2 linked regions of the Anolis sagrei genome follow. The protein of the gene in region 1 interacts with the protein of each later gene in a pairwise test. Links are inferred from orthologs where the notes say so. Each region holds a gene or a part of one and is shown on either strand. Other genes may lie near its edges.

What was found.
Region 2: the proteins of SALL2 (region 1) and ZMIZ2 interact in binary tests that used the Homo sapiens proteins (3 or more experiments, as listed by UniProt). The two-hybrid records come from large-scale screens. The link is inferred for Anolis sagrei from reciprocal best matches to the Homo sapiens genes SALL2 and ZMIZ2.

The regions. Positions count from the first base shown.
Region 1 is NC_090026.1:10,882,135-10,898,028, forward strand, and holds the start of SALL2 (sal-like protein 2), read left to right. Parts: upstream 1-8,152; 5' UTR 8,153-8,226; coding exon 8,227-8,299; intron 8,300-15,894. UniProt on the Homo sapiens protein: Probable transcription factor that plays a role in eye development before, during, and after optic fissure closure.
Region 2 is NC_090027.1:15,222,337-15,238,130, reverse strand, and holds the start of ZMIZ2 (zinc finger MIZ domain-containing protein 2), read right to left. Parts: upstream 8,042-15,794; 5' UTR 7,586-8,041; intron 1-7,585. UniProt on the Homo sapiens protein: Increases ligand-dependent transcriptional activity of AR and other nuclear hormone receptors.

The sequences.
Region 1 (15,894 bases):
TCATGTCTCCTCTCAGCCTCTCAATCAAACTTTATTTATATTCCGTTCCATCTCTCCTTGGGGACTCGAGACAGCTTACAACACCAATGGCAACCATTCCATGGGAAGATGGCATCTTTGTAATTGCAAGAGACTCATTGGAAGAAAGAGAAACTAGCTCTTACCTTTATTTTAGTGGCATAGACATCCTGCACTTGCTGTTTGGGTGCTAGAAGAGAAAGATACATGAAAAAGAGATTGGACCATACATATGACGATGGAGACAAAAAGGATACCTTAAGAGTATGCCTAAATGTGTTTTCCAAGGAGCATCTCTCACTGTGGATCCAAGTCACACTGTTTCCTCTCTAACATCTTTTGGGTTCTGTTCTCTGGTGGACTATATTTACCATATTTATATCCCGCCCTTCTCACCCCATAGGGGACTCAAGACGGCTTATGTATATAGGCAGCAATTCAATGCATATGGACATACATAGTAAAATAAATGTATACATTAAAACAATCTTTAAAAACATATCAAACCTTAAAACCACTTATTTAAAATCACATGATCCAATATCATAGTTTGAGGCATTCCAGATTGTCATTGCACTAATCTTTATTCTCTTATTGCACTGGTAGAATGTTTGGCCAAATATCCACATCTTTAGCCTTTTCCTGAAGACCAGGAGCGATGGGGCCTATCTAATGCTCCAAGGAGGGAGCTCCACAGCTGAGGAACCACCACTGAGAAGGCCTTGTCTCTCATCCCCACCAGTCGCCCTTGTGAAGGAAGCAGGACCAGGAGCATGGCCTCCCCAGAAGATCTTAACCTTCTAGGTGACTCATAGAGGGAGATACATTCAAACAGGTAAAGTGGGTTGGACCAAGGACCACTTTGACCAGGGACCACTTGTCCAGGGACCACTTGATGAGGAACCACTTTGACCAGGTACCACTTTGTCCAGGGACAACTTCATGAGGGACTTTAACCAGGGACCATTTGACCAGGGACCCCTCTCCAACATTAGTACCAAAATCAGTTTTTGGTCAACTTTAGATTTGGTTTGGTTACTTGGGGTGCTGATTTGGAATATTGCATTGGATTGATCACATCAGCTCTAGTATCTTTTTTTCGTGTAGGATTTTATTGAAATAAAGACTTTATAAATAGTTGGTATTCTCTGATTTTTTTTCACAGACTTATGGACCAAAGAGTTGACTCCTCCTCTCTAGGTTGGAAGTGGGGTAAACCACCTGTCAGAAGAGTTTCTCTTTACCTGTTGGACTTTGCTTGAAACTCACTTTCTGATTAGCCCTTAGTTCAGAGCGGCAGCACCAGAAATGATCTCAACCAGTTCCTTGGTGATGACAGCTTCATATTGTATTCGCTGAAGGAATCTACCACAAGTAGATGGCCATCTGTCAGGGGTGATTTGAATGCAATATTCCTGCTTCTTGGCAGGGGGTTGGACTGGATGGCCCATGAGGTCTCTTCCAACTCTTTGATTCTATGATTCCATGATTCTAAGTTAACAGAGCGCTCGGATGATTTCCATGGACAACGCAAGCAAAATGCCTCTGAGATGATTGACAAACATCAGCTCTAGTTTCTGATGTAGAACAGATGACATCCAGTAGTCGCCAACTACTCACCCACAGAAAAGCATATTTAATAAGCCTCGGCACTGTAAGAGGGTTGCAACGGTGTAGTAACAGTGAGGCCACAGACCATATTTTAATTCTTGCAGCCCCACTGGTGATCCACAGACCACAAGTTGGGAGCCACTGGGCTAAAGCCAGCACTTTGAACTGTGGTCAGTAGTAGACTGGCAGCCAGTGGAGCTGATGCAACAGGAGGGATGTTCTCTCTCGGTTTGGCTCTCTGGTGAGCATCCTGGCTGCCGTCTTTGGACTAGTCGAAGCTTCCAAACAGTCTTCAAAGGCAACCCACGTCGATTGTGTTGCAGTAGTCTATTTGAGATGTAACTAGAGCATTGATTACATATTCCCAGCTTCAGATATTTGAAAGAAGCTATTGTGATATCTTTCCGTCTTCTCTCCTTCAAGCTAAACATACATTGCTGGAGGACTCTGGGAGTTGTTTTTAAAAAGGAACCTTAGAAGAGATAATTGAGGAGTTACATTATCTCCAAGCGTCAAATCCTCCCCATATTCACGCCAAATATATTTGCATAGTAGGCTTGCATAGTAGGCGTATGATTTTGGAAATATATTGATAGATGCACGTTCTCCTGAAGGCACAAAGGGATAGAAGATTTGGTGCTTCATTTTTACTTGGCCTTCCCACAGAAGTGCATAGAAGATTCAGGAGACTGACTTTTTTTGCAGAGCGAGGGAGACTTGGTTTTAGTCTCTTTAATTCTTTGTCCTTTCAAAGGCCAGGTCTCACATTCTCTCTCCTCCAACTCCAAATTAAATCCCGATCCTATGGGCACAGGTGACGGAATTGAGCAACTGATAAAAGAAAAGAGGGCAGAGGAGGAAAGAGAAGTGCTTCTTCTCCCCTCTTCCTAATTTTCTGGGCTCTTTTGGAGACCCTGTGCCTACATCCCATCTCAACCCCCCTCTCGAAATCCTCTCCACTCCGCCACACACACAAATATAGTCTCAGAGGGGCCCATCTTCCCCCCCAAAGCGCTGAAGGAAAAGTCTTTATGCCTTTGTGCGGGGGATTCATTAACATTCCCGTAGCGAGCTTCTCCCGAGGATTTTACTTTTGTAGCTCTGGGGGGAGGTCAAAAGGCCACAGCGAAGAGGTAAAAAGGAGGCAGGAGTGGTGTGGGGTGGAAAAAAGGAGAAGAAAAAGAAGAAGAGTGGATTGGTGTGGAGGAGGGAGAGTCAAAGATGTTGGCTTTCAAAGGGGGATGGGAGACAGGAGGGATGGAGAAGGGATGGGGTGCCCAGGACAGATGGAGGTAGCTATGTGGACATGGGCCGAAAAGAAAAGGAAGGAAGTTACATGGGAAAGAAAAGAAGAGATCGGAGGGAGGGAGGGAAGCAAGCAAGCAAGCTGGCTGGCTGGTTGGAAGTTAAATGGAGGATGGAAGAGATCAAAGGAAGGAAGGAAAGAAGAAAGGGAGGGAAGCTACCTGGCTGGTCAAATGGAAGAAAGTTAAACGAAGGAAAGAAGATAGGGAGGAGAATAAGAAGAGAAAGAATGAAGGAATAGTCATGAAAACAAGGAGGAAGGGGAAGGGGAAGGGGGAAGGGGAAGGGGAAGGGGAAGGGGAAGGGGAAGGGGAAGGGGAAGGGGAAGGGGAAGGGATGGGAGGGATAGACCTGAAAAGAAAGCTACCTGTTTGTCAAGCTGGAATAAAATTAAATAAAGGATGGAGCAGATGGAATGGGAGGAAGTGAATGCAGAAGGGAGGAAGGGGGGGGGGGAGGAAGGAAGGAAGGAAGGAAGGAAGGAAGGAAGGAAGGAAGGAAGGAAGAAGGGGAGGGATAGACCTGAAAAGAAAGCTAGAATAAAATTAAATAAAGGATGGAGCAGATGGATTGGGAGGAAGTGAATGGAGAAGGGAGGAAGAGGGAGGAGGAGAAGGAAGGAAGGAAGGAGGGAAGGGGAAGGGGAAGGGGAAGGGGAAGGGAAGGGATGGGATGGGATGGGAGGGATAGACCTGAAAAGAAAGCTACCTGTTTGTCAAGCTGGAATAAAATTAAATAAAGGATGGAGCAGATGGAATGGGAGGAAGTGAATGCAGAAGGGAGGAAGCGGGGGGGGGGGGGGGGAGAAGGAAGGAAGGAAGGAAGGGGAAGGGGAAGGGAAGGCAGGGATAGACCTGAAAAGAAAGCTACCTGTTTGGCAAGCTGCAATAAAATTAAATGGGGAAGGGTGGAGCAAAAGGAATGGGGGGGGGGGGAAGTGAATTGAGAAGGAAGGGAGGGAGGGATGGAAGGACAGGAGGCAAGGAGGCAAGGAGGACAGACCTGGGAGAAAGGCTAGCTGGTTGGCAAAATGGAAGAGATCAAGTTAAATGCAAAAGAAAGGGAAAGATCAAATGAGGAAAGAAAGAAATATGCAGGAATGAAGGAAGGTGCATGAGAAAATTAAGAAGAAATAAACAAATTTGAAAATAATCTAGGAAGGAAGATTAAAAAGTTGCAGGAGGAAGGGGAAGAGGAGACAAAAGAAAGCAGGCCAATGGATTGATTTTTGAGAGAAGTGTGCTTTTAGAGAGACAACGTCCTCTTTCAATCCCACATTTTTGTAACCAAAATAGTTCAAGAGAAAATAAATTGTTCCCCTCTTTCATTTAAGGAGGATTCAACTGCTTTTAAAAAAATAAAAACAAATTTTGTGGTGCCTTAGAGAGCGACAATATTAACATGACATAATAAATATGGTAATAAATAAATAGGATGGGAATGCAAATGGAGACCGCAGGTTAAAGGACAAGCCTCTAGTCTCATTTAAAGGATGAACTTCAATCTCGTAGTGATTCCAGTGTTAATTCTGGCATAATTAAGGGTGTGGAGGAATGCTTTAAAAATACCAGCCAGGCAACCCACAAAGGTCTATGTCCAAAAAATTTTAAGAAAGGATCTTTTAGGAATAGATTCTCCAGATTTTTTTTCCATGTCAGGAGTGTTTTGAGATTTCTAGTGGGAGAGAATTCTGTGAGGATGTTGCCCAGGGGACGCCCGGATGTTTTTACCATCCTGTGGGAGGCTTCTCTCATATCACCACCTGGGAAGCTGGAGTTGACAGATGGAAACTCACCTCGCTCCCCGAATTCGAACCACCAACCTTTCGGTTAGCAGCCCTACCAGCACAAGGGTTTAACCCATTGAACGACCAGGGGCTCCAATTGTCCAGATAGTAAGCATGTATACTTCCTCTCTCACAAAGCAAATGTCACTGTGGTTGGTGGAGCATGGAAGTACAAGCATAATTGTGAGTAAAATCATTTGAATCCTGATCCAGTTAATTTCATCCAGTTTTCCTCTGATTTCCATAGCTATCTGCATTTCAATGGAGAAACCCAAATATCTATCCCAAAATTGAGCATCTTAATAATTTGTTGGAATGGAACTCCTGCCTATAAACATAAGAAACTATTTAAGCATCATCCAGTTATTTTCAGCCTGAATTTTGTTCTGATTCCTTCCCCTTCAGAGGCAGCTGGATTTCAGTGGCAAAACCACACAGGTCCATCTCAAAAATTAAGACACATCCCAAAAAGTATGGGATTGGGGAAGTATGGAATTACCAGGCATAAACGCAACAAGTGATTTGAGGGTGATGTAATTAATTTCAATCCAAGTGTCACTGATTCTGTTCCATGCCAGAAGCAGAAATATTTCAATGTCAATACAAAAATATTTACCTCCAAAAGATAAGAAACATCCCAAAATGAGTATCATTGTGGCTTGGAAGTATGGAATAACTGGACTTAAATGCAAGAAGTGGTTTCAGGGTGATCTAGTTAATTTCGGACTAAATTTTGCTCTGATTCTTTCCACTCCAAAGGAAGCTGAATTTGGATAGAAAAACCAAAAACATCTATCCCCAAAAACTAAGAAACATCACTGTGATGCCACGCCTGGGATTGAAGGAAAACTATGTTTGCCTGGCTATTCCCCAGTGGCTATCAGTATACCTTTATGTACTTTTATCTCTTTAAAATAAGGCCAAGACTTCACAGTCACAAAATGGGTATCTTAGTGACTTGGAAGTATATCATTATTGGCCATAAATGTGATAAGCGACTAGAGATGGGATTTGCATGAAGGCAAGAAAGTATTTGATGTAGTTAAGCATTTCTCAACGTGGGGGTCGGGACCCTTTGGGGGGTCACAAGGAGGTTTCAAGGGGGTTGCCAAAGACCATCAGAAAAAACAGTATTTTCTGTTGGACATGGGAGTCCTGTATGAGAAGTTTGGTTCAATTCTGTTGTTGGTGGGGTTCAGAATGCTCTTTGACTGTAGGTGAACTATAAATCCCAGCAACTATAACTCCCAAGTGTCAAAGTCTATTTTGCCCAAACTCCACCAGTGTTCACATTTGGGCATATTGAGTATTTGTGCCAAGTTTGGTCCAGATCTATCATTGTTGGAGTCCACAGTGCTCTCTGGATGTAGGTGAACCACAACTCCAAACTCAAGGTCAAAGCCCACCAAACCCTTCCAATATTTTCTCTTGGTCATGGGAGTTCTGTGTGCCAAGTTTGGTTCAATTCCATCATTGGTGGAGTTCAGGATGCTCTTTGATTGTAGGTGAACTAGAAATCCCAGCAACTACAACTCCCAAATGACAAAATCAATCCCCCCGCCAAGCCCACCAAATTTGTGCCAAATTTGATCCAGTGAATGAAAATACATTCTGCATATCAAATATTTACATTACAATTCATAACAGTAGCTAAATTGCAATTATGGAATAGCACCAAAAATAATTTTATGGTTTGGAGATTACTACAACATGAGGAACCGTATTAAGAGGTCGCAGCATTAGGGAGGGTGAGAAACACTGTCTTAAAGGTTACTGTGTAATTAATATACTTTGACATCACTATAATTAACTGTCACGGCTGAGTACTATGGAATCCTGGCAGTTGTTTACAAGCTTTCTAACCTTCTCAAACTACAACTCACATGATTCACTAACATTGTGCCATTCATAACAGGAGCAAAATTACAGTTATGAAGTAGCAACGAAAATAATGTTATGGTTTGGGGGTCACCACAAGATGAGGTACTGTGTTAAGGGGTTGCGGCATTAGGATCTCCCACTGGCTCCATTTATTATTATTTATTTATTTCCGGCATTTCTATCCCGTCCTTCTCAACCCTCGAGGGGACTCGGGACGGCTTACATTGGCAACAATTCAATGCCATAAATACAACAAACAATATATCAATAGTTTAAAGCAACAAATAAATCATTAGGTTAAAAGCACTTAAAACATTTGTCAACAGCATGAAGCCAGTCCAGTTCAATTCATAATTTTGTCAAATCCAGTTCAGTTCCATAACCAAGTGCTGCTACATCTGTTGTCCAAAGGTCTGGTCCCAGTACCATGATTTTAATTTTTTCCTGAAAGACAGGAGGGAAGAAGCCGACCTCATCTCGCTGGAGAGCGAGTTCCATAGGCGAGGGGCCACAGCCGAGAAGGTCCTGTCTCTTGTTCCCGCCAAACAAATGTGCGAAGCTGGCGGAGCCGAGAGCAGAGCCTCCCTGGAGGACCTTAAACTGCAGGGTGGGACATACAGGGAGATACGTTCTGACAAGTAAGCTGGGTCGGAGCCATATAAGGCTTTATAGGTCAAGACCAGCACTTTGAATTGTGCTCGGAAGTGGACCGGCAGCCAGTGAAGCTGACATAACAGAGGGGTCATATGTTGCTCCAGTTAGCAATCAATGGGTTAAACCCTTGTGCTGGCAAGACTGAGGACCGACAGGTCAGAGGTTCAAATGCAGGGAGAGTGTGGATGAGCTCCCTCTGTCAGCTCCAGCTCCCCATGTGGGGAAATAACTGAAGTTTCCCACAAGGATGGTAAAACATCAAAACATTCGGGCATCCCCTAGGCAATGTCCTTGCAGACAGCCAATTCTCTCACACCAGAAGCAACTTGCAGTTTCTCAAGTCGCTCCTGCCACGGAAATTTTTTTTTAGGAAAGTTGAGAACCACTGATCTAGTTGATTTCAGCCCAAGTTTTGCTCTGATTCCTTCCACTCTAGGACTATCTGGATTTCAATGGGGAAAACCAAAAACGCTTATGTCCCAAAAATTAATAAACACCCCAAAATGGGTGTTTTAGTGGCATGGAAATAATGGAATCACTGGGCATAAATGCAAGAAGGGGTTTGAGAGCAATCTAGTTAATTTCAGCCCAGGTTTTGCTCTGATTCCTTTCTCTCCAGAAGTGGCCAGATTTCAGTGTTGGAAATAAAGATCCCCCAAAGTTTCTTCTCTTTCCAAGGGAGCAATTCAGGGAAAGAAAGAGTTAAGTTTCCTTCTCCTTCCCTCTTTCCCCCCATCCAATCCTGCCAGTACAAAAGAAAAAAGAGTGTACAGAAAGATTAAGAGTTTTGCTTTTACAATGAGAGGCACAAAGGGGGGGAGGCGTGTCCCCTGAGGATGTGTGAAAGGGGAAGGGGCTGCAAGGGGGGGGGCAAGGGGAGGGATGCCATTCCCGAGAGACCAGGGTCAGGTGCCCACTGGCTCCCCACCAAAGACAGAGACTTGGGGTCCCCTCCCCAAACCCCAGCAGGGATGTCTCGGAGGAAACAGCGCAACCCCCAGCAACTCATCTCTGACTGTGAAGGGTCCACAGCCTCTGAGAACGGTGGGTGCTGGGGAGTGGGGAAGAGAAATTTGGGAGGGTCTCCTGGCAGGTGCCATTATAGGCATGGGTGGGGAGGGGGGCTTAGCATCAATGTATAGCAAAGCATGCATAGTGCTGGTGCAGGGGAAACATTTCAAGGAGGCCTGGGAAGAGAGAGGAAAGAGAGCAGATGAAAAGATGAATCTCACAAGTAGAAAAAAGTGTATTGGGAAACTCAAGCAGCTGGGCTACTTACAATGTTGCATGAGATGGATTCTCTCCCACACATCTGTGCTCAAACACATGGATTTGGGTTTTGGAGCTGGAGAAGGAGAAACAAAAGCAAGGGATGCGAGAAAACAGGGCATAACTTTTGTAGCATGTGCAAACACAGATGCCCAGAACTGAGGAAAGTTACTTTTCTGGCTACTGTTCCCTAGAATCCCCGAGCGATCATGCGCAGTGTGAGCTGGTTGGGAATATCTGGGAGGAATAGTACAAAAAAAGTGAGTTTTTAAGAGTGTGATGGTTTGTTTCTCTCTCTCACACACACACACACACTTTTCCTCACTCTTAGGGCTCTTCCACACAGCCCTCTATCCCAGTATATCAAGGCAGAGGATCCCAGTATATCAAGGCCAGTTCAAAACAGATATTGTGGGATTTTCTGCCATGATATTCTGGGATATAGGGCTGTGTGGAAGGGCCCTTGGGCCCTGTCTACACTGCCATACAAAATCCAGATTATCTGCTTTGAACTGGCTTATATGGCAGTGTAGACTCATATAATTCAGTTCAAAGCAGATAATCTGCATTATCTGCTGTGATAATATGGATTATATGGCAATGTAGAAGGGGCCTTACTCTCATGCAGTCATATCAATGTATCCATCTGGTTGCTTCCTCCCTCCCTCCATCCCTGCCTTCCTCCACAGTGCTCTCTGGATGTAGGTGAACTACAACTGCAAAACTCAAGGTCAATTCCCATCAAACCCTTTCAGTATTTTCATGGGAGTTCCATTTGCCAAGATTAGTTCAATTCCATCGTTGGTGAAGTTCAGAATGCTTGTTGATTGTAGGTGAACTATAAATCCCTGCAACTACAACTCCCAAATGACAAAATCAACCACCACCACCCACCCACCCCACCCCCCAACCTCACCATGTTCAAATTTGGGCTTATGGGATATTTGTTCCAAATTTCATAACAGTAGCAAAATGATAGTTATGAAGCAGCAACGAAAATAATGTTAGGGCTGGAGGTCACCACAACATGAGGAACTGTATTAAGGGGTCGCAGCATGTGGAAGGTTGAGGAAGGTTGAGAACCACTGATATAGAGCAATGGGGCAATAATCAGTTAAATGGTCCTAATGTTATGGTGGGGGTGGGGGGAGCAGAACCATAAATAGGGAATTGTTGTGTCTCTCCACCGCTTGAGCAAAATGTCACTTCCATTTTTGGAAAATGGCCATACTGTGGTCCATGTAGGGTCTGCATGACTTGAAAATGGCCCTCCGACACTTCCAAGTGTTCCCACCAGACACATAGCATACAAACCAAACAATAGCTCAGTTGCCTTGTAGGGAGAACATAACCACTCAGGTAGCTGCAAAAAGTGAACCCAGCAATGTTATGGAAGATAAAGCTAGAAGAAGAGGAAGGCAAAGTGGGAGATGCATAAGTAGAAGAGCTGTGGTAACCCCAAAAACTAGATTCTAGCTGTATTTTATTGTTGTAAGGTATCTTTAGTTCCCTATTGGAAGAGAGGGAAGGCAGAAATAAAGTCCACATAAAGTCCAGTTCTATACTAGAGTAAGTCATCTCCTTAAAGGATGTATCTATACTGTATAATTAATACTCTTTGACATCACTGTAACTGTCATGGCTGAGTACTATGGAATCCTTGCAGTTGTTTACCAGGTATCTAGCCTCCTCTGCCAAAGAGAGTTGGTACCTCACCAAACTACAACTCACATGATTCACTAACATTCTGCCATGGCAAGTAAAGTGGCGTCAAGCTGAATTCATTCTACAAGGTCTTTAATAAGACAGTGGAAATATCAACTGTGATCAGTACTTTTTTTTCATGTCAGGAGCCACTTGAGAAACTACAAGTCATAGAATCATAGAATCAAAGAGTTGGAAGAGACCTCATTGGCCATCCAGTCCAACCCCCTGCCAAGAAGCAGGAATATTGCATTCAAATCACCCCTGACAGATGTCCATCCAGCCTCTTCCAAAGAAGAAGCCTCCACCAGTCGCTTCTGGTGGGCCGTTTGCAAGGACGTTGCCCAGGGGACACCCAGATGTTTTACCATCCTGTGTTTTGGACTTCAACTCTCACCATTCCTAACAGTCTCAGACCCCCTTCTTTTTGCCCCTCAGCCACTTGGACTGAAGTTTGACCATGCCTACACTAAGACCAGAATGGGGGGCGCATGGCAAAGATACAGAATGGGGGATGCATGGGTCGAGAACAGTATTTGTGAAAAAGATCTTGGAGTCCTCATGGACAACAAGTTAAACATGAGCCAACAATGTGATGCAGCAGCAAAAAAAGCCAATGGGATTTTGGCCTGCATCAATAGGAGCATAGTGTCTAGATCTAGGGAAGTAATGCTACCCCTCTATTCTGCTTTAGTTAGACCACACCTGGAATACTGTGTCCAATTCTGGGCACCACAAATGAAGAGAGATGTTAACAAGCTGGAATGTGTCCAGAGGAGGACGACTCAAATGATCAAGGGTCTGGAGAACAAGCCCTATGAGGAGTGGCTTAAAGAGCTGGGCATGTTTAGCCTGCAGAAGAGAAGGCTGAGAGGAGACATGATAGCCATGTATAAATATGTGAGAGGAAGTCATAGGGAGAAGGGAGCAAGCTTGTTTTCTGCTGCCCTGGAGACTAGGACACGAAACAATGGCTTCAAACTACAAGAAAGGAGATTCCACCTGAACATGAGGAAGAATTTCCTGACTGTGAGAGCTGTTCAGCAGTGGAACTCTCTGCCCCGGAGTGTGGTGGAGGCTCCTTCTTCGGAAGCTTTTAAACAGAGGCTGGATGGCCATCTGTCGGGGGTGCTTTGAATGCTTCTTGTCAGGGGGTTGGACTGGATGGCCCATGAGGTCTCTTCCAACTCTATGATTCTATGACCTTTTGTCAGGCTATGTTTCTTCATTCACTGATGCCAATTCCACAGGTGTGCATAGACTGTGCCCCACAATCTCACAAACCCGTCACATCCTCTTTCTTGTGGATTTTGCCATGTTCTGTCCTTCCCATGTTCTGGCACCCAGAGAATGCTTGCATCTCATTTTGCATCTCTTTTCTTTGCTCCCATGCATTCTCTCGCCCGGCTCTTTCACAGCCCTCTGCGTCCTTTCATGCACAGACCGGGGTCACACACACATGCATTCGGCCACACTTCCTCACCCACATATTTTTGTTGCCTCTTTTCTCCGCTCTTTGTGCTGTTGCTAAGTTACTCAGGGAGGCCTAGGTAGTCCCTCTTGTGCTAAGTTAAATTCGCCATCCCCCTCCTCTATTTTTTTTCTTTTGGGGGGCTTTTGCTTGTGACAACTGCCTGGAGTCTAGCCGCCTTCTGAAATGTTCAAGGCAAAGACAACATTAAATAGGTTGTGTTCTCATTCTCCCAGGAAGAACTTGTGTTTAGGTGCAGCGGGCAAGTTTGCAATCTCTTTGGGAAGTGTTTGTTTAGGTGCAAGGAAATTGGATTGCAAATTAAGGCGGAAAGCCTGCCTTCCAGGCTGATGGGGTCATTGTGCGCAAGTGTTCCTGAGCAAACTTCAGCAGACATATTTATGTGCGCTCCATGCGCCTGTATATTTGCACTGACTGCTTGCTATGTTTCAGAGCAATGTGCAGCCCAACCCTGTGTGGGATTTGTTAAAGAGGGAGGGCGTTTTCTTAATTAGCTTCCTCCCAGTTGTTGTGGTGCCAGGACTTACCCTCCACTCTGCTCTACAGTTCTGACTTTTGCAGATTTGATTATTCACAAACTATTTTAAGAATCTCTAAGTTTTCCAGTGAGACCCTGTAGTTACCTGCCTCCTGGAAGAGCTGGAGATTTCTAGAGGGAACATGTCTCTAGGAATCTCTTAAATCCTCCAATGAGGTTCTATGGTCAGCTTCCATTGAAAGGTATCAGGTCTTAGACGTTAAACAGGATCAGTCCTGGGTTGTTGTAGATTTTTTCGGGCTATATGGCCATGGTCTAGAGGCATTCTCTCCTGATGTTTCGCCTGCATCTATGGCAAGCATCCTCAGAGGTAGTGAGGTCTGTTGGAACTAGGAAAAATTGTTTCTATATCTGTGGAATGACCAGGGTGAGACAAAGGACTCTTGTCTGCTGGAGCTAGGTGTGAAGTATCAGTCCTGGTTGCTACTTGGATGGCGGATAGCCAATGAATACCAGATGGTTCCCAACCACTGGTCCTCCAGGTGTTTTGGAATTCAACTTCCAGAGATTCCAGCCATCTCATTAGCTGTTAGGAATTGTGGGAGTTGAAGTCCAAAACACCTGAAGTGGTGTGAAACTCCATTAATTCTACATCCTGGCTCCCCTGTCCCCTGTTCAGCTACTTGCTGATTCCCTCAGCCCCTCCAGGTGTGCTGTGGAGCTGAAGCTCAGTGCCTTCCTCCTTCTCTTTTCCCTTTCTCTTCTTCTTTTTCCTCTTTTCTTCCTCCCCTCTTCCTCTTTCCCTCCTCTTCTTCCATGCCTTTTATCCTTCTTCCTCCTCCTCTTCCTCTTCCTTCCTCTTGCCATCTTTGTCTTTCCCCCTTCCTCTTCTTTTACTTCCTTTCGGTTGGTCCTCCTCCTCCACTTCCTCTTCTTCCTCCTCCTCTTCCCTCTTTTCCTCCCCCTGGCCCCTCTTTTGATCCCCCCACCCTTTTCCTCCTCCTCCTATTCTTCCTCCTCCTCCTCCTCCTCCTCCTCCTCCTCATCTTCTTCCTGCTCTTCCTCTTCCTCTTCTTCCACTTCATCCTCCTCCCTCTTCCCCTCCTCTTCCTTGCTTTTTATCCTTCTCCTTCTATTCTTCTTCTCCTCTTCCTCCCCCTCCCCTTCTTCCCCTTCTTATCCTCTTCCTCCTCCTCAACTTCTTCTCCTTCCTCCACTTCACCTTTCTTCCTTCTCCTCCCTCTCTTCCTTCTCCTGCCCCCCCTCTTCATCTTTCTCCTCTTCCTTCCCCTTGCCCTCTTCCTCTTTTCTTCCCCATCCTTCTTTTTCCTCTTTCTCCTCCTATTCTTCTTCCTCCTTCTCCTCCTCCACTTCATCTTCTTCTTCCTCCTCCACTTCCTCGTCTTCTTCCCTCTTCTCCTTCTCTTCCTTGCCTGTTATCCTCCTCCATTATATTTCTACTTTCTTCTTCTCTTCTTCCTCTTGTTTCATTCTCCTCTTCCTCGTCTTTCATCCTCCCTCCCTTTTCCTCATCCTCCCCCCCTCCACTTCTTCTTCCTCCACTTCCTCTTTCTTCTTTCTTCTCCTCCTCTAATTAGTCTTCCTCCTTCTTCTTCCTCCTCCTCCTTTCTCTTCTTCCTCCTCTTCTTCCGCCCCCTCTTTCTCCTCCTCTTCTTCCTCCTCCTTCTCCTCCTCTCATTCATCTTCTTTCTCTTCTTCTTCCCCCTCCCCTCTTCTTCTTCCCCTTCCCCTCTTCTTCTTCCTCCTCTCCTTCTTCTAATTCTTCATCCTCCTCCTCTTCTTCTTCTACCTCCTCCTCCTCTAATTCTTCCACCTCCTCTTCTCCTTCTTCCTCCTCCTCCTCATCTTCTACCTCCTCCTCCTCTTCTTCCTCCTCCACCTCAAATTCTTCCTCCGCTTCTTCTTCCTCCTCATCTTCTTTCTCCTCCTTCTCCTCTCATTCTTCTTCCTTCTCTTCTTCTTCTTCCCTCTCCCCTCTTCTTCTTCCTCCTCTTATTCTTCTTCCTCTCCTTCTTCTAATTCCTCCTCCTCTTCTTCTTCTACCTCCTCCTCCTCTTCTTCTTCTTCTTCTTCTTCCTCCTCATCTTCTACCTCCTTCTCCTCTTCTTCCTCCTCTGCCTCAAATTCTTCCTCCGCTTCTTTTTCCTCCTCTTCTTCCTCCTCCTCCTCTCATTCTTCTTCCTTCTCTTCTTCTTCCTCCTCCTCCTCTTCTTCTTCTTCCTCCTCCTCATTTTTTCCTCCTCCTCTAATTCTTCCTCCCCCTCCGCTTCTTCTTCCTCTTCTTCTTCTTCCTCCTCTTCCTCACCCCCTCTTCCCCTCCTCGTCCACTTCCTCGCCTTTTCTTCTCCTTCTCCTCCTTCTCTTTTTCCTCCTCCTCCTCCTCCTGCTCTTCCTCTTCCCCAGCCTTGGTGGCGCTGGCAGGAGCAGCCAGAGCCACCCTCCCGACACCAGAGGTCCCTGCTGCTGCAGCCGGGTGCCGCCGGGGAGCCGCTCTCGGCAGCCGCCCAGCCAGCCGCTCGTCTTGCCACTGCTGCTCCTTCGCCCTCCTCCTCCTCTCCGTCCTCCTCCTCTTCCTCTTGCGGAGGCCTCGGGCGGCCGAGATGAGCAGCCCGGGGGATCCCGAGGCGTCGGGGGAAGGCGCCCCAGCTGTTGCCGCCGACGTGATGATGCTGGAGGAGCCCGGAGGTGGGGCCGAGAGAGCGTTGCAAAGCCAGGGATGCGCGCTCTTGCTGGGGAGGGGGCCAGGGCGCAAGCCCAGCCTTGGGAGGTGGGGGGGGTCTTTATTTGGGGAGAGGGAGGTCAAGGCAAACCCAAGGGGGACCCCTTTCCTGCACCCCCTTTTTTTCTACCCCTAGGAGTTGCTGCAATTCCTCCCAACGCAGCTCAGCTCTGTGTGCGCCTTTTTGGCGAGGCCTCAGTGAGGACCTTGCTTGCCTCCTCTCCTTTCCCCATTGTCTGTTCGCCTTCTGCTTCTCTATTAGGAAAACACTCAACAGCTTCCTCCTTCCTCCTATCCATCCACTAACCCCCCCCCCCCCGGTTTATTTCAGTGTATCTCAACCTGGGGGTCGGGAGGGGGGGTTCAGTGGTGTCGCCAAAGACCATCAGAAAACCCATATTTCTTAGCAACCCCTTTGGCAGAAAAGGCTGCAGATCTCTCCACTTGGCCTTCTCTTCCCTTTTGGTGTTGGTGAACTGCAACTCCCAAAATGCAAAAACAGCCCCCTTCCCCAACCCCACCAAAAACGCATATTTCTTAGCAACCCCTTTCGCATGAAAAGGCTGCAGATCTCTCCACTTGCCCTTTTGGTGTTGGTGAACTATAACTCTCAAAATGCAAAAACAGCCCCCTTCCCCAACCCCACCAAAAACACATATTTCTTAACAACCCCTTTCACATGAAAAGGTTGCAGATCTCTCCACTTGGCCTTCTCTTCCCTTTTGGTGTTGGTGAACTATAACTCCCAAAATGCAAAAACAGCCCCCTTCCCCAACCCCACCAAAAACGCATATTTCTTAGCAACCCCTTTCGCATGAAAAGGCTGCAGATCTCTCCATTTGGCCTTCTCTTTCCTTTTGGTGAACTACAACTCCCAAAATTCAAAAACAGCCCCTCCCCAACCCCACTAGTATTCAATGTTGGCCCGTAGGTAGTATGTAGTGTGCCAGGTTTGG
Region 2 (15,794 bases), on another chromosome or scaffold:
ACTTTCTCATTACCTTATATTCAAACCAATACTTTTAAATCAAAATTGTTCATGGTCACAGTTACAGGTCTATTTATCAGCCAATAATGAAACATTAATGCAGAGTTTCTATCAGTTGTTCAAACCAAAGACCAAGCTAGGATTCATTCTGCAAAGACTGGATAGATATATTAACCGCTGTATTGGACTGGATGAGGGCTAACAAATTGAAACTGAATCCAGACAAGACAGAGGCACTCCTGGTCAGTCGAAAGGCCGAACAGGGCATAGGGTTACAGCCTGTGCTGGATAGGGTTACACTCCCCCTGAAGACGCAGGTTCGCAGCTTGGGTGTGATCCTGGATTCATTGCTGAGCCTGGAACCCCAGGTTTCGGCGGTGACCAGGGGAGCATTTGCACAACTAAAACTTGTGCGCCAGCTGCGCCCGTACCTTGGGAAGTCTGACTTGGCCACGGTAGTCCACGCTCTGGTTACATCTCGCATAGATTACTGCAACGCGCTCTACGTGGGGTTGCCTTTGAAGACGGCCCGGAAGCTTCAAATGGTCCAGCGTGCAGCAGCCAGGTTGCTAACAGGAGCGGTGCTCAGGGAGCACACAACTCCTCTTCTGCGCCAGCTCCACTGGCTGCCAGTTTGCTACCGGGCCCAATTCAAAGTGCTGGCCTTAGCCTATAAAGCCCTAAACGGTTCTGGCCCAGCCTACCTATCCGAACACATCTCTTCCTACGAACCCTCCAAGAAGTTAAGATCATCTGAGGAGGCCCTGCTCTCAATCCCGTCTGCTTCGCAAGCACGCTTGGCGGGGACGAGAGACAGGGCCTTCTCTGTGGTGGCCCCTTGGCTGTGGAACTCCCTGCCTAGGGATATTAGATCAGCCCCCTCCCTCCTGACCTTTCGTAAGAGAGTGAAAACCTGGCTCTTCGAGCAGGCATTCGGAACCCCGAAATAGTCAAGCTTGAGATGGAGAATGACCCAGGAACGGCCAAGACGATGAAACGGATGAGGATTGGATTGAGAGGATATAGCTCTTTTTAAATTGTTATTGCACTGTCTTTTTTGTCTAAATGCACTTAATTGTTTTTGCTTTTGTATTGTATTGATGGCATCGAATTGTGCCGATATGTAGACCGCCCTGAGTCGCCTGCGGGCTGATATGGGCGGGATATAAGTGATGTAAATAAATAAATAAATAAATAAATAAACCTGTTTTCTCTAGAGTTACAAAGCAACTCAGTGAAAAAGTTACCAAGGAGGAAATAAAGCATACTGTTGTTAGCCTTCACTTCATCCACATTCAAACAACTAAATATTTGCTGCCAAATCCTTAGTAAGGAAAAATAATACACCCAAGGTATAAGAACCAGAGACAGGTAGGACAAGCTTTGCAGGACCAACCCTACTAGCCAAACTGTTGATGAGTATTCCCTGGCCTGTGATGCCTATCCTTTCAAATTTTCATAAAATGTGGAAGCTTATGTGCTTATAGACTTATGCAGAGTACTCAGACTGCAAACATTTTCTTCTTTCTCAAGTTGCTCAACCAGAGAAAGGGGTATTTGTCATGACAACTTGGTAATATGGCCTGTCTGGTACATTTGGGTCCATAGAAAGGAGAGAGGCTGCTTGATTGCAGTGTTCAGATTTGTGGAATTCTCAATCTGTTTTGTCTTCTGCTCCAGGGAAGAGCCATAGTTCACGGGGTAGTAATCTTTTGATAAATAAAATTAAAAAAAAGGAACCCTCTTATCTTCTGACATTGTGGAAAGAATGCTGCATGAGTTTTCATGCTTTCAGGATACCCCCTTACCCTATGAATCACAACTTAAATTAAACTCTCTGCAGACAGATTGGCAGTGTTTAGCCAAACAGAAAGGACAAAATGAGCTGAGTATCTGGCAACATGAAGAGCCGATGTCCTCTCCACCCTTCCCTTCAAATTAAAAACACCCAAGAGTAACGGCAGAAGACAATTTGTATTAGCTGTAGATGCATTTCTTCACAATGCTAGATCACAATCAGGCCACAAAACAATAAATGCAATTTCACACCTGCATTAAAGAGTGAAAAAATAACTCTTTTGTTTGTTTTTCTTCCACAGGATAAACAATACCAGCAAGGAAACTAGAAGATATTGGAACTGCACAAATAGCAGAGTAGAACAAGTTAGAAGATATTCTGTGGGCATTGCTTTGCTCCAGCAATGTGGCATCTTCTCAATCCTAGCACAGGTAGCTCAAGACCTTTAAAGAGAGGAACACACTGTTTTCTCTCTCACTTCCTTCCTTGGTTGGGTTTTCAACTTATAAATCCCCCCCCCCCCCGCCATTCACTCCCACCTAAGGCTGAAATCGTGCACAACTCTTCAGCTCTCTTCTTCACAGGAAAACTCAATGAAGCATCCTCCAACTCCTTAGTAATATCTGTCTTTCTCATTTCATTCTTCAGGATGATTTTTTAACAAGATGTAGAACTATAGGCACCTTCCCCATCAGATGTTTTTGATTGCAAGGACCATCAGCCCCAAAGAGTACATCCGATGTTTGGGGCTTATGAGACTGAAGAGCAGCATTATGATGTGGGGGGGGGGGGCTGATCGACAACACTGCCTCCTAAAATCTGGGTCCCAGCCTCAAATGGGGTAGTCTTAGCTCCATGTTGGGGTCACAAAAATTGACAACAGTGTAAGTTCTCCCAATGTCACTTTGTGGTTGTTTCAGGCATTTGGTAACCTCAAGGTTGGACTTCTATGATGCACTTTACATTGGGCTACCCTTGTACCAAGTTTGGAAACTCCAAATGGTTCAAAATACAGCAGCCAGATTGGTTACTGGAACATCTAGGAGTGAGCATATTACACCTATCCTAAAGTTAAACCACTGGCTGCAAATTCGTTTCCGAGTGATGGTTTTGAGTTTTAAAACCCTGCATGGCTTGGGTTCAGGTTACCTAAAGGATCACCTTCTCCCATACAATCTGCCTCACACACTTCGGTCTTCTGAGAGACGTCTGCTCCAAACAGCCAGAACCCAACTGGCAACCACCACCCAGAGGACCTTTTCATCAGCTGCCCCAAGACTGTGGAACGACCTGCCTCTAAATCAGCTGTCGGAATTTAAGACACAAGTGAAGACCTGTCTCTTCTGGCAGGCCTATCAAGACAATCTTTAAACATAATCATGAATTTAATGCATGTCCTTTGTTTAATCTCTGTTTTGTCTGTTTTAACATGTATTTCATAGAGATACGTTTTGGTATGGAACTTTTATGGAGGTACCTTTTAGTGTGTGTATTTGTACTGTTTTTGCTATGTTTATGTATTTATTTATTTACAACTTAGATATCCCACCCTTCTCACCTTGAAGAGGACTCAGAGCGGCTTACAAGTTATATATACATACAATATATTATTAGCATAGCACCATCTTAGAATTATATATTACTATATTGTACTATACCATTATATTGTAATATTATTAGTAATATTACATGTAATATAAAATATATAGTTATAATATCATATTTTTATTAGTATTATATTGCATTACATTACAATATTATACATATTATATGTATATACAATATATTATATTACTTTAACCCACTGCACCATCGGGGGCTCCTATAAAAAGGGAAACCATCTTGCAATTGCTGATCCTCGCACCAGGAAACATTTGAGTTTTGTACCTGTTTTACATCATTGGGGCTACCTCAAAATATCTCAAATACCGAATAGAGGTCATGAATTAGAATAATAGAATCATAGAGTTAGAAGAGACCTCATGGGCCCTCCAGTCCAACCCCCTGCCAAGAAGCAGGAAAATTGCATTCAAAGCACCTCCGACAGATGTTTAAAAGCCTCAAAAGAAGGAGGTTCCACCACACTATGCCTAAGTGGAGTATCTTGCAATTGAAAAGTTTGAAGAAGCCCCAACCTACAACAGGGCTTTCTGAGAGATGTTCCCTGAGGGCGGGCACTTGTGGACATTTTAAGATTTGCCAGCATGGAGGGTAAAACAACAAACAAACCCAAGAGCTGCTCCTTGGGAAAATATGCCAGCTTCTAAGAAACAGAGACAGGTAGGACCAGCTTTGCAGGCTCTATCAACCCAACTGTTGCTGAGTATTATTATACTATTACTAGCCATCCCCTGCCCTGTTGCTGTGGCCCAGTATCTGCATATGTGTTTTGTGTGCTTGCGTTATGTGTATATGTGTGTGTGTGTTATACACATATGTGCTATGCATATATGTGTGTTATGTGTATATATTTGTGTAGATGTGTATATATGTGCGTTCGCATATATATGTAGTTGTGTACATGTGTTTATTTATTTATTTCATTTATATACTGCTTTTCTCAGCCCTTAGGTGACTCAAAGTGGTTAACAACAGCAAAAATTCAATGCTAAACATCATATAAACAGTTAAGGGACAGATAAAACAGTAGCATAATAAACAATTAAGCATCAATATAACAAATCATTAGTGTCTCATCAGTAGAATCAAGATCCAATCTCATCATCCGTTATTGTAATTTTTTGTTTTGTTTTTTTTGGCTTTTAAGTCCCTTCTGTTGTGTTTTTCAGTGTTTTTTTATGAGTGATAGTCACTTGTTGGCCTGATAGGTGTCTTGTGTCCATATTTGGTGTCAATTCGTCCAGTGGTTTTTGAATTATGTTAATCCCACAAACAAACATCACATTGTGTGTGTTATACACATATGTACTATGTGTATATATTTGTGTAGGTGTGTATATATGTGCATTTTCATATATATATGGTTGTGTGCATGTGTTGTAATGTATTTTTTGGGTTTTTTGGCATTTTAAGTACCTTCTGTTGTGTTTTTCAGTGTTTTTATGAATAATGGTCACTTGTTGGCCTGATAGGTGTCTTGTGTCCAAATTTCGTGTCAATTCATCCATTTTATTGATATAGATTCCCTGACCTGTGGTGTTGACCCATTCAAGTGTTCAAGAAACGTGAAAGCGTGTAATCATATGTTGCTTATATGCGAGTTATATTAATTGTACTGTTTTATTTGCTTGCTGCTTTGTTTTTTACTGATGTTGGGCTTGGCCTCATGTAAGCCGCCTCGAGTCCCCTTGGGGAGATGGTGGCGGGGTATAAATAAAGTTTTTTTAATTATTATTATTATTATTATTATTATTATTTGAAACACAACGAGATGAGTCCACAGCAGACACTCTGCTGGCTGTTGTATCGGATCACACGTCGGACACTTCCCTACTGTCTGGGACTGTGTATCGGCAAATAATGCCCGACTTTGGAACTCTTTACCTGGAGAGATTAGGAAAGCCCCTTCATTAGAAATGTTTAAAAAGAACCTTAAAACCTGGCTCTTCCGCTGCACCTTTGGTGAGTAGGTGCATGCCATGATATTTTGCACCCCTCAACGTTTTTGCTGGAGCTCGCGCCCCCAAATGGAAAGTTTAGCCTCACAATTCTATGTATTTTATGAGTACCTGTAAATGTTCTGCTCCTATTTTGTCTCATTTCAGTCTTTGAATTGTTTTTATCCTATTTTTATCCATTGTTACCGTCACCATGATTGTGTTTATTAGAATGATCTTTTATGACTGCTGCTATTTTTTAAATATAATTTTGATGATGTTGTTGTTATTTGTTGTTAATGTTTTGATTTTATTGCTGTAATATGTTGTCCGGGCTTGGCCTCATGTAAGCCGCACCGAGTCCCCATTGGGGAGATGGTGGCAGGGTATAAATAAAGATTATTATTATTATTATTATTATGTATGCAGATCCCAGTAAGGTGGCCTTCTGCAGCTGGCAGATGGTAATTTTGTCAGCGCCGATTGTGTTTAAGTGCAGTTAAGTCTTTAGGCACTGCACCCAGTGTGCCGATCACCACTGGGACCACCTTGACTGGCTTGTGCCAGAGTCTTTGCAGTTTAATCTTTAAATCTTTTAAATTATTATTGTTATTATTATTATTGGGAGGGATAGCCAATACTCCAGAGGACAGGAGCAGGATTCAAAATGATCTTGACAAATTAGAGAGATGGGCCAAAACTAACAAAATGATGTTCAACAGTGACAAATGCAAGATACTCCACTTAGGCAGAAAAAACGAAATGCAAAGATACAGAATGGGGGATGACACCTGGCTCGAGAGCAGTACGTGTGAAAAAGATCTTGGAGTCCTCGTGGACAACAAGTTAAACATGAGCCAACAATGTGATGTGGCAGCAAAAAAAGCCAATGGGATTTTGGCCTGCATCAATAGGAGCATAGTGTCTAGGTCTAGGGAAGTCATGCTACCCCTCTATTCTGCCTTGGTTAGACCACATCTGGAATATTGTGTCCAATTCTGGGCACCACAATTCAAGAGAGATATTAACAAGTTTTGTTATGGAACTGTTGATTCTACACTTTTAATAATGATTGTGCTATTTTGAAAGATGACTTCCGTGGATGTAGACACTATACTCCAACGGGATTTTGGCCTGCATAAATATGAGTCTAGTGTCTAGATCCAGGGAAGTCATGCTACCCCTCTATTCCGCCTTGGTTATACCACACCTGGAATATTGTGTCCAATTCTGGGCACCACAATTGAAGAGAGATGTTGACAAGCTGGAATGTGTCCAGAGGAGCGTGACTAAAATGATCAAGGGTCTGGAGAACAAGCCCTATGAGGAGTGGCTTAAGGAGCTGGGCATGTTTAGCCTGAAGAAGAGAAGAAGGCTGAGACGAGACATGATGAGGACCATGAATAAATATGTGAGAGGAAGCCACAGGGAGGAGGGAGCAAGCTTGTTTTCTGCCTCCCTGGAGACTAGGATGTGGAACAATGGCTTCAAACTACAAGAAAGAAGATTCCATCTGAACATGAGGAAGAACTTCCTGACTGTGAGAGCCGTTCAGCAGTGGAACTGTCTCTTCAGAGTGTGGTGGAGGCTCCTTCTTTGGAGGTTTTTAAACAGAGGCTGGATGGCCATCTGTCAGGGATGCTTTGAATGCAATATTCCTGCTTCTAGGCAGGGGGTTGGACTGGATGGCCCATGAGGTCTCTTCCAACTCTATTATTCTATGATTGTGAATATTATCTTTCAAGTACAATCAGTGGAACTCTCTGCCCCAGAGTGTGGTGGAGGCTCCTTCTTTGGAGGATTTAAACAGAGGCTGGATGGCCATCTGTCGGGGTGCTTTAAACGCAACATGCCTGCTTCTAGGTAGGGGGTTGGACTGGATGGCCCATGAGGTCTCTTCCAACTCTATGATTCTAATGGATAAGGGAGGCTCCAAGCGGGCCCATCCAAGAGAAGGCAGGCAGGCAGGCGCCCTTTCCTCGGCCTCATGGCGCCCACAGCTCCCCGTGGCATCCCTTTTGTTGCCATGGAAACTCCCCCCCCCCCTTTTTTTGGTACCCCTCAGCCAAAACCACCCTAAGCAGACAGGCGGGGATGATCTTAGCAAACAATAAAACATGGCAGCCTGGGAAGGGGGTTGGGGCCTTCCAAGAACCCCCCCCCCCCACAAACCCTGCCAAACAACAAGGCCCTCCGCCCGCTTCCTGAGGGGATAAGATGGCAAACGCACCAGGTTAAAATGGCCCTCGCAGCCGCCGCCGTCGCCGCCGCCGCCTCTCCCTTTTTCCTTCTCTGAGGAGAAGAGGAGGAGGATGAGGAGCTGCTGCTGTTCCCGTTCCCTCACAGGCCTGGCCGCCCGGGCTCCATGGCGGCCGCGGAGGAAGGCGAAGGAAGACGAAGAGGAGGAGGAGGAGGAAGCAGCTCCCTGCCGCCCGCCCGCCCTCAGCGCCGCTGCCCGAGCCCTACAGCCAGGAGGACGAGGAGGAGGAGGAGGAGGAGCGCGCCGCGGCAAGAGCAGCGCCGGCAAGGCTCCCCGCCTCCATCCTGCCTGCGCTTTTCACCTCAGAGCTCCGGTTGCACAATAGAGAGGCCCGGCTGCCTCATTAGTATGCACGCCCCGCCCACTCCGCCGCTTCCTTCGGCTTCAGCGGCGGTGACACTGACACTCACAGCAATGGAGCTCTTATCTCCAGCGGGAGGGGGAGAAGGGGCGTGGCCTGCGCCTGCGGCACCGCGCGCCCCGCCCCCTCCGCAAGCCCCGCCCTCGGAGGCGCTGAGGGAAACAGTTTCCTGAGGAAGGAAGGAAGGAAGGAAGGAAGGAAGGAAGGAAGGAAGGAAGGAAGGAAGGAAGGAAGGAAGGAAGGAGGGAGGGAGGGAGGGAGGGAGGGAGGGAGGGAGGGAGGGAGGGAGGGAAGGAGGGAGGGAGGGAGGGAGGGAGGGAGGGAGGGAGGCGGAAGAGGGGCCTTCCTGCTTCCTGTGTCCCTTTTCCTCCAAGGCGGCGGAAGGCTTCCTCCATCCCTCAGGGATGAGGAGGGAAGGTCGCCTCAAAGGAAATCCCGAGCTCGGCTTTCCCGGGCCTCAGCCATGGAGGGAGAGAAGCAAGGAAATATATTTATTTATATCTGTTATAGAACTCCAGAATGCTGATGACAATGTCGTCTGTGCGCATTCAGAAGAAGATCTACAAGCCACTCTAAACACCTTCACAGAAGCATACGAGAAGCTCAGCCTCTCATTGAACATCAAGAAAACCAAAGTCACCAGCCAATCCCTTTCCAATACCACAGATAATAATAATAATAATCCTTTATTTATAACCCGCTACCATCTCCCGCAGGACTCGGTGCGGCTTACAGGAGGCCGAGCCCAAATACATCAATAAAACACAACAACAACAATACAACAATAAATAACTCGTAAGGCATAACAATAATATCACGACGCATTTAAAACCTGTGGCAGGGCCAAATGTAATGATTAAAATTTTATAATGCTGGGCATGTTCAAGAGAAATAGGATGGATATTTTAGGGATATGTGGGTGTGCAGACAATTCTAAATCTCTCGTAAAGATACAGCTTAATGGCATAACATTAGAAAATGTAGACCATTTCTGCTACCTTGGCAGCCACCTCTCTACCAAAGTCAACATCAACACTGAAATACAACACTGCCTGAGCTCTGCGAGTGCAGCTTTTTTCCCAGAGGCACTGAGGGAAGCAGTTTCCTGAGGAGAGGAGGAGGCAGGCGGAAGAGGGGCCTTCCTGCTTCCTGTGTCCCTTTTCCTCCAAGGCGGCGGAAGGCAGGGAGCTCGCCTCAGGCCTCCTCCATCTCTCAGGAATGAGGAGGGAAGGTCGCCTCAAAGGAAATCCCGAGCTCGGCCTTCCTGAGCCTCAGCCATGGAGGGAGAGAAGCAAGGAAATATATTTATTTATATCTGTTATAGAACTCCAGTATGCTGATGACAACGTCGTCTGTGCACATTCAGAAGAAGATCTACAAGCCACTCTAAACACCTTCGCAGAAACATACGAGAAGCTCGGCCTGTCATTGAACATCAAGAAAACCAAAGTCACCAGCAAATCCCTTTCCAATGCCAGAGATACAGCTTAATGACGTAACATTAGAAAATGTTGACCATGCACATATAAATGACAAGCATTCAATGCCATAGACACACAACACATATAGACCAAAGACACAGAGGCTATTTAACATTCCAGCTTCATGAGGGTGTGCTTTTTGAATTCCGGCCACCGGGGAGATGTCACTTCACCATCCACTTGTGACACCGATGGAGTATTTCTTCATTCTTTTTGCACACTACTGGAGAGTTTTATGGCATCGTAACTTAGTTAAATTAGCCTCCCCGCATAAGCAGTACCTAAATTTCCTACCTGACAGATGCAACTGTTTTTCGGGCTGCAAAGGTCGACAGCAAGCTAGACAAATGGCTGGAAGCTCACGCTGACCCGGGCTGTCTTCGGCCCAGCAGCAGAGCAGGGAGCTCACCTCAAGCCTCCTCCATCCCTCAGGGATGAGGAGGGAAGGACGCCTCAAAGGAAACCCTGAGCTCGGCCTTCCTGGGCCTCAGCCATGGAGAGAGAGAAGCAAGGAAATGTATTATTTATTTACTTACTTACTTAACAGCATTTATAATCCGCCCTTCTCACCCCGCAGGGGACTCAGGGCGGATCACAATGCACATATACATGGCAAACATTCAATGCCATAGACACACAACATATATAGATAAGAGACACAGAGGCTATTTAACTTTCCAGCTTCATGAGGGTATGCTTTTTGAATTCCAGCCACCGAGGGAGCTGTCGCTTCACCATAATAATAATAATAATTTTAAAAACTTTATTTATACCCCACCACCATCACCTCGAAGGGGACTCTGGGTGGCTAACATGAGGCCAAACTCAAAGATACCAATACAGCAAAATAAAATACAAAATGCAGGCAACAAAATTTCATCAGAATAATATACATAAAGTAGCAAAATAAAATAAACAGAAGAGATGGACATATATAAAATCAAACACAATGGGCAGGCCAAATGGACGAGGTAAAATGATAAAACCCTGGATGAGGTAGGAATAGAAAAAGTGTAATTGAGAGGAGCCCAGAAAGGATGAACAGTGGTGTTAGACTTTCAATTTAGGATGGGGGAAAGTGCATCATAGGGGCAACACTGTAGATGGAACAAACAGAACTCTCCAAAGGCACATCGGAAGAGCCAAGTTTTCAGATTTTTCTTAAAGGCTGCTAAGGTGGGGGCTTGCCTAATCTCACCAGGTAGTGAATTCCAAAGTCGGGGGCCACAGGGCTTTTTCTCTTGTTCCCACAAGTCTTGCCTGTGAAAAAGGAAGAGGCGAAAGGAGGGCCTCCCCAGAGGATCGGCGGGATCGTGCATCGGTGTCACCATCCACTTGTGATGGTGTCCTTCCTCATTGTTTTTGCACACTGCTGGAGAGTTTTATGGTGTCGTAAATTATTTAAATTAGCCTCCCCGCATAAGCGGTACCTAAATTTCCTACTTGACAGATGCAACTGTTTTTCGGGCTGTAAAGTCTGACAGCAAGCTAGACAAATGGCTGGAAGCTCACCCTGATCCCGGCTGGCTTTGAACTCACGACCTCTTGGTCAGTAGCAGATTTTAATGCATCTGACTCTGAACCAGCTGCGCCATGACCTGGTCCAAGAAAGAGTACCGTTCTATTACCCGAGTGGTGACCACTAGGGGGCGATAGAGAGAGGATATAGTCCATTTACAGCAGTGGTTCTCAACCTGTGGGTCCCCAGATGTGTTGGCCTTCAACTTCCAGAAATCCTAACAACTGGATGGGATTTCTGGGAGTTGTAGGCCAAAACATCTGGGGACCCACAGGTTGAGAACCACTGATTGACAGGAAGGGATCCATCCAGTCCATACTCCAGGAAATAAAGCCTGACTACTCACGGGAGGGAAGGATATTAGAGGCAAAGATAAAATATTTTGGCCACATAATTTTTTTTTTTGTCGTGTCAGGAGTGACTCCTGGTGTGAGAGAATTGGCCGTCTGCAAGGACGTTGCCCAGGGGACACCTGGATGATTTTGATGTTTTTATCATCCTTGTGGGAGGCTTCTCTCATGTCCCCGCATGAGGAGCTGGAGCTGATAGAGGGAGCTCATCCGCCTCTCCCCGGATTTGAACCTGCGATCTGTCGGTCTTCAGTTCTGCCGGCACAGGGCTTTAACCCACTGCGCCACCGGGGGCTCCTGGCCACATAATGAGAAGACTGGAAAGCTTGGAGAAGACAATGCTGGGGAAAATGGAAGGAAAAAGAAAGAGGGGTCAACCAAGGGCAAGTTGGACGGATTTCAAGGAGACCCTAATGATATATTGTTTTTATTATCTTAATGTTTTTAAGTGTATTTTATGGTCTTGTTACCGACTGTAGACCGCCCCGAGTCGCCTGGGGGCTGAGAGTTTACGGTAGTTTACGGTATATAAATATAGTAAATAAATAAATAAATGTCATCCTTGAAGTGACTGGCTTGACCTTGAAGAAGCTGGGGGTGGCCACAGACGACAGGGCTGCTCTATGAAGTCATGAAGGGTCGGAAGCGACTGAACAAATAAACAACAACGGAGAGCGAGTTGAAGGAGGAAAACTATTTCCCCCATTTTCGCAGGTTGTTTCCACCATGGGATGGGTGGGGAGAATAACAGGAAAACAGGGGGAAATGGTTTTTCTCCTCCAACCCACCCTCCACCCTGTAAAAATGACTGTCCTCTCTCTTGCACCCCCGGTGGCCTCCGACGGGATAATGGAACAGTACCAAAGAAAGAAAGTTGGGCCCTGGCTGTTGTGCATTGGAGAACCCGTCCAAGGCCTCATCCACATGGACCATTCAATGCACTTCATATTGTGGCAACCAGGCAAGATTTTGCCACAATAGTGTGCGAAAGAAACAATTCCGCACTTTGTCTGTGTGCCGTGGTTCCTGCGATCCCTATCTGGACCTCCCAGTATTTTCTGTATGCTGGCTTGAAACTGCATTAAGTAGTCAGTGAAGATGGGGCCACCATCACCAACCCAGATGGATTCGCTTCCTCCCTGGCAGGATTCTCTTGCACTGACTGCTCCTTCCCTCCAAATTAAGAGAGAGATGTGCTGATTACCTGATGCAGGAGTTGTGGAAGGTGATTGAAGGCCTGCTCCAAAGGTCACTAAGCCTGGCTTTTTGCATTATACTTCATGGGCCCGGCAGCCCAGCACTTATAGGATCTCGGGAGCCATATTTGTAGGGCCACAATTGATTCCTCCCTCTGCTTTGTGAGTTTGATCAGGACTCAGTCACAGAAAGAACCAGTTATGAGGTTTAGCAGAAAGATCAGGGGAAAGACAATGCCCCTTCCCCATGATATGGCTCCGAACTTAAGTAATGGCTCCCCCCCAAAAAAACCATAAATTTTTTGAAGAAAAGTCAAAACCTGGCTCGAGCGAGCTTTCACAAATGCAGCATAACAGGCAAATATGGAACTATTTGATGATGCCATTGGAAAATGAATTTAGTAAAAAGATGCTGATGATTTATGTTTCTTATTGTTTTTATATTATTATTTTATTATTATTATTAACTTTATTTGTACCCCGCTAGCATCTCCCGGAGGACTCGATGCGGTTTACACAGGCCGAAGCCTCAAAACACAATACAATAGAAAACATAACACAACAATAGCAAAGCAAATCAAAACAATAAGCAAAATAACGACAATGGCAGTACATCAAGACATTATTAAAACTGGTTCGGCCGGCGCAATGGGGTACAAGGTTAAAAGTGCTGAATGGCAGGAGGCACGTAGGATTAAAAGTGCGGTGTGCAGCGACGATTCGTTATGCTAAGGTGCTACTAGGACTTGGGGTGGGGATTCCTAGTCAGAGGAATTTTTTATATTATATGTGGAATGTTTTAAACTGTATTTTTATGTCTGTCGTGGCATCGAATTGTTGCTGACTGTAAACCGCCTTGAGTCACCTTCGGGCTGAGAAAGGCGGGATACAAATATCATTAATAAATAAATAAATAGCCCTTTGAAAACATCCCCTCAAAACACATTAAAATGGAATGAAATGTTAATCGGTATCCAACCTTATAAGAAGACAGAGAGGAGCAGAAGACAGTTCCATCTTGTCTTTACTAATAATATAGTGTATTGTATATACATATAATATTTATAATATTATAATGTAATACAATATAATAGTAATAATAATACAATATTGTCGAAGGCTTTCATGGCCAGAATCACAGGGTTTTTTCGGGCTATATGGCCATTGTCTAGAGCAGAGGCGGCCCTAGGTAATTTTCAAAGGTAAGCAAACATTATTTTGGCGCCCCCCCCCCCTCAACCAATCACTGAAAAATAAAACATAGAAGGTAGAGGTGAATAAAAGAGTTACCTTACAAACCAGAAATTTACTTATGTTCATATAGTTACATTACCTAGAATTAACACAAATTAACTTTTTTTAGAATGCAAATATTTTATTAAACTTAGCAACAATTTTAAGTTTTTGTTGTTATTTTTGGTCTACAAGTACTACACAAAGGTTTATTGGTCATGCTGTCTCTTCAAAAGATTTTTCAGACTAGGGTCTTGCTAATAACAGAGAACTCAAACCCATGCTTGTTGGGTCTGTAAATCAGATTTGTTTTGGAGAACGCAGCCCTAGGAGAATAGACACCTCCTTTTTAAGAAAGCGAACTCTTGTCCTTCAAAAGTGCCATGCCAGCCTGGACCATTGCAATGGGTGTGGCAACACAGCCAGCATCTGGCCCCTTCACTTGACTGGATACTTTAACATCCAGTTTTGTTTTTTTAACACAAATAAACTTGAACACTTTTAAAATTAAAAAGATATTTTTCTGGCTTTCAATTTTGAAAACTCGTGTACTATTATATCTCTTTCCATTTCATCCAACAAGCCATTTTCAATGGCCAAGGTTGCTAGTCCACTCAAGCGCTCTTGACTCAAAGTTGATCTTAAGTACGTTTTTATAAGTTTTAATTTTGAAAAACTCCTTTTACCGCTGGCCACAGATACTGGAAGTGTTAACAGAATTCTCAATGCAATATAAACATTTGGGAAAGTATCCACATAACCACGTTTGGTTATGAAAGACAACGCTTTCGCTGGATGACTTCCAGGGGGCAGCATGGTTGCAAATATTTGTAGCTATTCAAACAGATCATCACCTTTCACATCACAGTCTTCACTATCAGCCAAAATGGTTTGAAGGTGTTGACAGGCATTCTTCAATTCTGTTTCATTCAAACTTTTCCCAAGGCTTGAAATGTCATACTGGGATCAGATCTTGGGATATAGGGCCTGTCTGGAAGGGCCCCTAGACCCCTTCTACACTGTCCTTATAACCCAAGATCCCATCCCAGGTTATCTGCTTTGAACTGGATTATATGAGTCCACACTGCCAGATAATCTGGGATAAACAGAAAACCTGGGATCAGATCTTGGGATATAGGGCCTGTCTGGAAGGTCCCCTAGATCCCTTCTACACTGACCTTATAAACCAAGATCCGATACCAGGTTATATGCTTTGAACTGGATTATATGAGTCCACACTGCCAGATAATCTGGGATAAACAGAAAACCTGGGATCAGATCTTGGGATATAGGGCCTGTCTGGAAGAGCCCCTAGACCCCTTCTACACTGTCCTTATAACCCAAGATCTGATCCTAGGTTATCTGCTTTGAACTGGATTATATGAGTCCACACTGCCAGATAATCTGGGATAAACAGAAAACCTGGGATCAGATCTTGGGATATAGGGCCTGTCTGGAAGGGCCCCTAGACCCCTTCTACACTGTCCTTATAACCCAAGATCCGATCCCAGGTTATCTGCTTTGAACTGGATTATATGAGTCCACACTGCCAGATAATCTGGGATAAACAGAAAACCTGGGATCAGATCTTGGGATATAGGGCCTGTCTGGAAGAGCCCCTAGACCCCTTCTACACTGTCCTTATAACCCAAGATCCGATCCCAGGTTATCTGCTTTGAACTGGATTATATGAGTCCACACTGTCAGATAATCTGGGATAAACAGAAAACCTGAGATCAGATCTTGGGATATAGGGCCTGTCTGGAAAGGCCCCTAGACCCTTTCTACACTGTCCTTATAACCCAAGATCCGATCCCAGGTTATCTGCTTTGAACTGGATTACATGAGTCCACACTGCCAGATAATCTGGGATAAACAGAAAACCTGGGATCAGATCTTGGGATATAGGGCCTGTCTGGAAGGGCCCCTAGACCCCTTCTACACTGTCCTTATAACCCAAGATCCGATCCCAGGTTATCTGCTTTGAACTGGATTATATGAGTCCGCACTGCCAGATAATATGGGATAAACAGAAAACC